Linked DNA regions of Sus scrofa. The protein of the gene in region 1 interacts with the protein of each later gene in a pairwise test. Links are inferred from orthologs where the notes say so. Each region holds a gene or a part of one and is shown in the gene's direction. Other genes may lie near its edges.

The links.
Region 2: the proteins of UROD (region 1) and FAM84B interact in binary tests that used the Homo sapiens proteins (3 or more experiments, as listed by UniProt). The two-hybrid records come from large-scale screens. The link is inferred for Sus scrofa from reciprocal best matches to the Homo sapiens genes UROD and LRATD2.

The regions. Positions count from the first base shown.
Region 1 is NC_010448.4:166,327,459-166,331,834, reverse strand, and holds the start of UROD (uroporphyrinogen decarboxylase), read left to right. Parts: upstream 1-1,276; 5' UTR 1,277-1,290; coding exon 1,291-1,310; intron 1,311-1,962; coding exon 1,963-2,075; intron 2,076-2,199; coding exon 2,200-2,279; intron 2,280-2,356; coding exon 2,357-2,419; intron 2,420-2,633; coding exon 2,634-2,831; intron 2,832-2,957; coding exon 2,958-3,119; intron 3,120-3,449; coding exon 3,450-3,587; intron 3,588-3,753; coding exon 3,754-3,854; intron 3,855-3,942; coding exon 3,943-4,009; intron 4,010-4,358; coding exon 4,359-4,376. UniProt on the Homo sapiens protein: Catalyzes the sequential decarboxylation of the four acetate side chains of uroporphyrinogen to form coproporphyrinogen and participates in the fifth step in the heme biosynthetic pathway.
Region 2 is NC_010446.5:13,443,953-13,448,358, forward strand, and holds the start of FAM84B (protein FAM84B), read left to right. Parts: upstream 1-1,330; 5' UTR 1,331-1,802; exon of another isoform or gene 1,803-1,816; intron 1,817-1,873; exon of another isoform or gene 1,874-2,252; intron 2,253-2,349; 5' UTR 2,350-2,445; coding exon 2,446-3,384; 3' UTR 3,385-4,406.

The DNA.
Region 1 (4,376 bases):
TATTTTTATGGTTGAATGATATTCCATTGTGTGTGTATACACACCCACACTACATTTTTAAAAATCCATTCATAACTTGATGGACACTTGGGTAGAAACTTTGTTTTGTTTTCAAATAAGTGAAGTTATCAAGAAAAAAAAAATAAATGGTCCCATGTAATTTTGACAGTTTTCCATTTGTTTCTCCTGAGGAAGTTGAGGACACAGTGACTCCCGGCTGTTTGCACACGATCACACCACTACAGGATAAAGTGAACAAGTGCAGCTAACAAGGGCCTGCATAACCTGGACTTTGCAGGCGTCTCCAGCCTCTTAAATTCCACCAACTTGTTTCCCGGTTCCCATAAAACCTCTTCCTCTTTTGCTGTCTTCTCTTTGCACATGCTGTTCCCTCTGCGTGGAACACCCCCATTGCTCTCCCTAATTTTTTTGGGGGGGGTCTTTTTTGCCTTTTCTAGGGCCGTTTCCGCGGCATATGAAGATTCCCAGGCTAGGGATCCAATCGGACCCATAGCCACCGGCCTACACCACAGCCACAGCAACGTGGGATCCGAGCCGCGTCTGCAACCTACACCACAGCTCACGGCAACGCCGGATCGTTAACCCACTGAGCAAGGGCAGGGACCGAACCCGCAACCTCATGGTTCCTAGTCGGATTCGTTAACCACCGCGCCACGACAAGAACTCCAGCTCTCCCTAATAGATGGCGTGCTTGTTCGTTGCTTCTAGCTTTTCCCCTTAAAACATTTACTGTTGTAAATGTAAAGGTTTCTGTTTCCGCATCTTAAAGGACGGAGCTGTCTTGTACATCACTGTGAGCTCTGCATCTACTGTAGTGCTCACCTCTTACTAGGTAATAGAAATATTTCATTATTTCAGTTCCCTGTACAACTTAGTTCCATTAATTCACAGTATGCTTGGTCGAGCCAGACATAAAATTGTTGGAATCCTGGCGTGGGCGTGAAAGTGAGACTTGGGCTGAGTCTTCGGGATTCTCAGGCCATCGGAGGAGGGCAAATTCCTCCTGCCACGCTAAGGGTAGCTACAGCAAGGTTCTTTCGGGGGTGGTATTTGTGGCTGCGTCGCTACAGCGGACTTTACGATGTAGAGAGAGGCGGTCCTACCGGCAGCGGCCGGGGCAGCGCAGGAGCAGCGGCTCGAATCTGATCATGTGACTTTCAACATGGCGGCGGCCTCGCGCCGCTCCAGGAAGGGGCGGGGCTTGAGCAGGGGGCGGGCGCAGACTCAGGTTTTAGTGGGGACCCGGCTCGCGTTTACAGACAGCTGATCATGGAGGCGAACGAGTCTGGGTGAGTCCTTTACCACGTAGTTTGGCCGGCGGGGCTTCTGACCTGAACGTTTCCGCTCAGGAATCTGTCCCTATACCCCTCCTCCCCAGCCCCGGAGAGCTCTCAACCTGAACCCAAGTCGCTGGAATCCCAAATCCTCCAACCAGGATTCCTGAGACATTCATCCCAGGGAATGTCTCGCTGGACTGCGTCCCGCAGACCTTCATTTAGGGGATACCCCCTCGACTTTCTAATCCTCGACTAGGATCCCTATTTCGGACCATCATCTCTGATCCCTCCATGACTGTCCCCCAGCCTGGGGTTCTTCCAGCCCTGAAACAGCCCACTGGTATTCTTGTTCCTGAGATTCTTCTGGTCCAAAGATCCCCAAACTATCCTCACCCCCCCGCCCCCATTCTCCGTGTCTCTTCATTGGCTTTGAGGTTGGGGAAGCTGGGCCAATGTGTAGGGTAGAGGCCCCAGCACGAGCCCTTCTAGTTCTGTGCACCACCAGATAGGCAGAGGGAGGCGGAATCGGCGGGGAGCCACAGCTTGGTAGCTGGCCTGGAGAAGGCAGATAGCGGTGCCAGACTGAATCCACCTTAAGCACCTTAGCCTTGCCCAACTCCTAGCTCAGTTTACTGACACCTACCCCACTCCCTCTGATCTCTAGTCCCCAGGGTTTTCCGGAGCTGAAGAATGACACCTTCCTGCGAGCAGCCTGGGGAGAAGAAACAGACTACACTCCGGTTTGGTGCATGCGGCAGGCAGGCCGCTACTTACCAGGTCAGGGTCGGGGCCTCAGAGTCTAGGTGAAACTCCGAAAGGCAAAAAGTTTTTGAGAGGCAGAGAAGGGCGCGCGCTAGAGGTTCCTCAAAGCTGATCCCTGCCCTCCCTTTTCTGTCTGCAGAGTTTAGGGAAACCAGGGCTGCCCAGGACTTTTTCAGCACCTGTCGATCTCCAGAGGTGTGCTGTGAACTGACGCTGCAGGTGAGGGGTCCACAAAAGAGGGGAGGGATTTATGCCCTCAACTTGCCACCTAGCAACCTGTCTTTGTTTCCCTATAGCCACTGCGTCGCTTCCCCCTGGATGCTGCCATCATCTTCTCCGACATCCTCGTTGTACCCCAGGTACCTGCTCAAACTTTGAACAGGTGGAAAAGAGAAAAGACAGTCAAGGCTCAAGATGAGCACTTATCCTTACTGGACAGAGGGAAAAATAGGCTGGAAGTGATGGAGTTTGGCTGAGTTTTTTTTCCTCCTTTTCCTCCTTCCTGGCATGGGTCGAACAGAACTCTTCCTTTGGAGGTACCCGTTGGGAACTCAGATCTTTCTTCCCCTCCAGGCACTGGGCATGGAGGTGACTATGGTGCCTGGCAAAGGGCCCAGCTTCCCAGAGCCATTACGAGAAGAGCGAGACTTAGAGCGCCTCCGGGACCCAGCAACAGTGGCCTCTGAGCTGGACTATGTGTTCCAGGCCATCACCCTCACTCGGCAACGACTGGCTGGGCGAGTGCCACTGATTGGCTTTGCTGGTGCCCCGGTAATATGGACCAGGGCAGGGACTTGGGCTTGGGGAAACTACGCTGGCAGGTCTGGGTATGGACAAGGGAAGGAAGCGTCAATCTGGCTTCTATACCTGTGACGTTCTCTTTGCACCCTTTTGCAGTGGACTCTGATGACATACATGGTTGAGGGTGGCGGCTCAAACACCATGGCTCAGGCCAAGCGCTGGCTTTACCAGAGGCCGCAGGCCAGTCACCAGCTGCTTCGCATCCTCACTGATGCTCTTGTCCCATACCTGGTGGGACAGGTGGCTGCTGGTGCCCAGGTAAGTCCTGAGGGAGAGACAGACAGGCTGGGGTTTAGGATTAAGGAGAGGAGAGGTGTCTTCATGCCAGGCACAAAATAAGTTTGCTCCGAAATAATGGGGCCGGAGCAGCTAAGCCTAGACCCTTAATGCTGTGTGTGTTCAAAGATCAAAGCCAGTACTGAGATCTGGAGAAGGCAAAACTTTTTGACTGGAACTGGGTTTATAGGCTTAGGCAGTATCAGGGGTTGAAGTCACCTGGGGGAGATTGAGGGACCTTCTGTGTGTGGGGTTAGACACACTTCCTCTTTGTATGTTACCTATTTCTCTTTACCACCCCTCTCATTGCAGGCATTGCAGCTCTTTGAGTCCCATGCAGGGCATCTTGGCCCACAGCTCTTCAATAAATTTGCACTGCCCTACATCCGTGATGTGGCCAAGCGAGTGAAGGCCGGGCTGCAGGAGGCAGGCCTGGCACCAGTGCCCATGGTAAGGTTGAGGATGGGGTGAGTGAAGGCGGGTCTGTGGAACTTTCAGGCTAAGTCCTGGGTGGACCTAAGTGACCACTGGAGGGCAGCAGAGACACAGCGGCGATGTGACAGCAGGCAGAGCAAGGGAAGGCCCTCTGCAGCCTCGGATTTGCCCTTTCCCCCAGATCATCTTTGCTAAGGATGGACATTTTGCCCTGGAGGAACTGGCCCAGGCTGGCTACGAGGTGGTTGGGCTTGACTGGACAGTGGCTCCAGAGAAAGCCCGGTGAGTGATGGGAGGTGAGGTCGGGGGAGGGGGTGCAGCAGCTGCCACAGGTGCAGTTACCGGAACATGGCACTGACTCTGCTTCCAGGGACCGTGTGGGGAAGACAGTGACCCTGCAGGGCAACCTGGACCCCTGTGCCCTGTATGCATCTGAGGTAACAACCAGGTCCCTGTGTTTGTATGTCTGTGAGTTTGTCTCTTTGCACTTCCACGGTTGTGGACATGGTTGTGTTTATTACTGTGTGTGCGTCTCTTTATTATCTGTTTAGCTCTCCCCCCTCCTCCATTCACACCCTGTGAACTCAAGGAAGGCAGGGATTTCTGTTTATTGATTTTGTTCGTTTGTGTTTTCTTAGTGCCTGGCTTATACCAGGCGTCCGGTAAGGTGTTCTGAATGACCGAATGAGTCACACTGAGTGGGAGCATGCACGTGGGTCACTGTTAGGTACGGGGAGGACAGAGGCATGCTGGCCCCCTCTAGCCAGCGCCCTGTTGGTCCCTCAGGAGGAGATTGGACAGCTG
Region 2 (4,406 bases), on another chromosome or scaffold:
CTGGTCACACATGCCTGAGGCCGGTCAGAAAAGACTTAATCTACACAGCAGACACACAGAAGTCCCTTTTTGGTCTAATTTACACTGAGATTTTAGACTTGCTGAAGGACTAACTTCCATCACAGCCCTGCCAATATTGATTGCTGGGCTCCAAAGTATATAAGTAGATTGATTTCTTTTTTTTCCCCTCAAACTAAAAAGGATCGCAGTAGTATTAGTACATTCCTGTTTCCACTGGTCAGTAGACCCACTGAATAAATAATCGTGTTACCTGGAAAAATTGAGTCAAAAGAAACAGTGATGGAAAACAGAGCAGAGGAGGTCTTGAGTTGCATTCTTAAGCAAACCAAAAAAAAAAAAAAAAAAAAGAGAGAGGGAGAGACAGAGAGCGAGAAAACCACTTTTGTAGAGCTTCCATCTTAGGTAAAATAAACAAAACCAGCATGGAGGGGAGAGAGAGGGAGTGCCCTCTTTTAGTGGAGGTTATAGGCAATACTAGTCTCCTGTCATTTCCTTCTGTAAGTCAGCAGGAAGGAAATATATCCAGCGAGGGCCTCTGCTAATATGCTCTGAATTTAAAGACAATTAGGCAATTCCTACATCCTCTACCGCCAAGAAAAACAACCAGAGCCGAATGCTTTCTTTCACTGTCTTTTGAACTGGGAACTCTCAAAACAATGGAGGTTATGAAATCAACTTTGAGCTAATTTCAAGCAACGTTAATAGTTAATAAAGAGAGCCCTGGTCTTGGAAGCAAGTCACTAACTAGGTCTTTGTTCTGTTTTCTACAGTTCCTTCCTGCGAATTTTTTTTTTCTTACCTGAAAGTTTCACAGGACTTATTTTGTAAACACCTTTAAACTGAAGCACTTCTCCAGTCTGCCTAGGAAAAAATTCTTTTCTGTGACCTTTGGCAAGAAATAGGTTCTAGGAAAGAAAAGAAGGAAGTAAAAGTTTCTTTGTTTCCTAATGTCTGTTCCTCCCTCTCCAGGTACTTTGGGAAAGAACAGGCAAAGGGAAACAGAACAAACACCAAACTCTTAATCCCTCTCTTCTTTCTACACTGGCAGGTGGCGTTTGCTTTACAACTTCTTTTTAAAGCTCACAGCTCCGAAAAATACAACCTGAGCAAGCAGCGAGGGCCCCACAAGGCCTTGCTTTAAGAGGGGAAGCAGGACTCCCAGGGGCTATGCGTACAACAAGAGGGGCGCAGACTGCCAGTCCAGCCAACCCATTGGTTATTTACTAGCGGGATTTAAACCCGCTCCGAAGTGGAGGCGTGGCCTGGGCGGAGCCCCCTGGTCTGGGTGGGCGGGGCGGGGAAGGGGGCGGGGATGCCCGAGGCTCCGCGCGGTGCGGGAAAGACCTGGGCTCCGGGAGCGAGCGTCTGTCTCTTTAAATGCCAGGGGCTGCGCTCCCGCCCTGGGAGCCGGGAGCCGGATCTACAATCCCGTCCCTCCCGCTTCGGCGCTTGTTGCTCGCCCGGCCCGACCGGGAGCTGCAGCCGCCGGGCACCGAGACTGCTTCCTTCTTCTTCTGGAGAGCCCCACCTCCCCGGGAGCCGGTTGAGGGGGAGAAACAGCCCCAGCAGGAGGGAAAAGGTGCCGTGTGAAGAGGCATCACTCCCCCCCTTCAAGTCTTACGCGGGGGCAAGACATGCGCCGCTCCCCCCTGCCCAGCCTCGCAGCCGCCTGCGCCTGGAGAGGAGAGACTGCGGAGCCCACACCTGCAAACTCGTCCTAGAAGTCTCAGGGTGCGGCTGGGGACCCCTCCCAATTCCCCTCGGCCTCCACCTCTCCGCGGGTGAGTTCACGCAGGTAACCCGAACTAGAGGGCGGGCGCGCGGCGGGGGGGAGGCGGGCGAGGAGGGAGGAGAAAGCGCCGCAGGTGAGCCAGGTTGGGCCGCTCACCTGCTCCAGCCTCGCGGCGGCTCCTCGCCGGTTTCTCTCTACGGTTAGATGGCGGGGAGGGCGTCTCAGGGGCTAATTTAGGCCCCTGGGGTGAAAGTGAGAGTAGGAAAGGGGAATTGAAGTAAAGTTTCTTTTTCTTACCCCCTCCTATTTGGGCTTGGCAGGTTAGGGCGCTGGCGGAAGCGGTAGGAGTCGCTGATGCAATGGGCTTTTGCCCAGGCGAGGTGAAGGGCTGGGGGAGGGGGAGAGCTGGAGTTGCCAGGCTTCCTTTGACTGTGACCCTGGAGGTGGAAAACTGAGGGAAAGCTCGCTACATTTGAGACGCCTAGTAAAATGACTCCAGGTGCCTGGCCCTCAGTCTTTTTTCTTCTTCTTAAGAACAAATCGCCCATTTCACCGAATGGCTCCTACATGGCTACCTTGCCTTCTTCTCCCAACAGGTGGTCTCAGCCCCGGTCCGGGGACCTGTGCCAATGACCCTAGTGGTGGTTTCGCTTTCTCCTCTTTCGGCGGTGTGAACGTGTGTCCACGGCGTGATGGGCAACCAGGTGGAGAAACTGACCCACCTAAGTTATAAGGAAGTTCCCACTGCCGACCCGACTGGAGTGGACCGGGATGACGGGCCCCGAATCGGAGTCTCCTACATCTTCTCCAATGACGACGAGGACGTGGAGCCCCAGCCGCCGCCCCAGGGCCTGGATGGCGGTGGCGGCGGTTTGCCCGACAGCGGGGACGGGCCGCCCCTGCCCCCGCCACAGCCCTATGACCCACGGCTGCACGAGGTGGAGTGCTCCGTGTTCTACCGCGACGAGTGTATCTACCAGAAAAGCTTCGCTCCAGGCTCCGCCGCCCTGAGCACCTACACGCCAGAGAACCTGCTCAACAAGTGCAGGCCTGGCGACCTGGTGGAGTTTGTGTCGCAGGCGCAGTACCCGCACTGGGCTGTTTACGTGGGCAATTTCCAGGTGGTGCACTTGCACCGGCTGGAGGTGAGCAACAGCTTCCTGACGGACGCCAGCCAGGGCCGGCGCGGCCGCGTGGTGAATGATCTGTACCGCTACAAGCCGCTGAGCCCCAGCGCTGTGGTGCGCAACGCGCTGGCGCACGTGGGCGCCAAGGAGCGCGAGCTGAGCTGGCGCAACTCTGAGAGCTTCGCCGCCTGGTGCCGCTACGGCAAGCGTGAGTTCAAGATCGGTGGGGAGCTGCGCATTGGCAAGCAGCCTTACCGGCTGCAGATCCAGCTCTCTGCGCAGCGCAGCCACACACTCGAATTTCAGAGCCTGGAGGACCTGATCATGGAGAAACGGCGCAACGACCAGATAGGGCGCGCCGCGGTGCTACAGGAGCTGGCCACGCACCTGCACCCCGCGGAGCCGGACGAGGGCGACAGCGACGCCGCGCGGACTACGCCGCCTCCCGGGCGCCCCCAGGCGCCGGGCCAAGAGGAGGAGGACCGAGAGGCGGTGGTGCACTGACAGGCGAGCTGAGTGCGGAGCTGCGTGAGGGAGCCTTTGCAGCAGCCGCTGCCCCCTCCCTTCTCTCCCTCCCTCCTCCACCATCTTCTGGGTCCCAACTGGGCTCCTGGGCCATTTGGAAAACGGAGAGTTGGCGAAAAGCGCTGCCAGCTGTGGCTTGAGTTTGTTATCTTGGACGGAGGAGGAAGAGGGAGCAGGTAGGAGCATTTTGGCTGGGGGCGCTTCTTGGCTTCTTGCCTGCCCGTTCAATCTGTCTTCCTTTCCGAGGTGAGGCACATTTTGGACTTGCCAGATATTAAGTACCTGCCGGACATGGGTCCAAAAATCGCCCCTTCTTATGCACGCAGGGGTGGAGCAAAGTTCTGAGTACCAGTATCTGCCATTGCCTTCTGCCCGCTTCCCCTCCTACCCTAGGCTTGGAGGATACACTGTACCAAGGCCAGAGCAAGTTTGTGGTGGTGCTAACCCCTAGGAGCAGTGTGAGGGAACTGGGAAGTTGGGATGATTTATGTTATGGTTTTCCTGGGGTGCAGGGCTGGTGGAACCAGGACCCATCTAGGAACAGCAGACTGAAACAAAGGAGCCCCCTGTGAAGTGTAACAAATGATTGAGTAATCTTGGGCTGCAAAACAAAGACTTTGCTACCTCCCCCCTTTCCATCCCTGAGCGGTTTGTCTTCTGAAGTTGGCCTCCTGCATCGCAGGCCAGCCACTTTCCAGGTTACAAGTAAATCCTTGCCACAGGCCCGTTAAGGGAAGGATTCATTTTTGCTTCCGTTCTGTCGCCTTTGTTTTCCTCGCCCACTGTTGTAGGTTGTAGGCACTTACAGCTGCGTTATTAGTTCTAAGAGGGAATAGGCCTTTGTGTCTCTTTTCTAATGAAACTTGCTTGACCATGTTCATCCACAGGCCACACTGTGAGGCTGGCTGCTGCCACCGCATAAAGTATCCACTACAGAAACAGCCAAACAGGGTTGCCCTGGCAGGAATTTGTCAATTTCCTGTTCATTCCCTGACCTAATC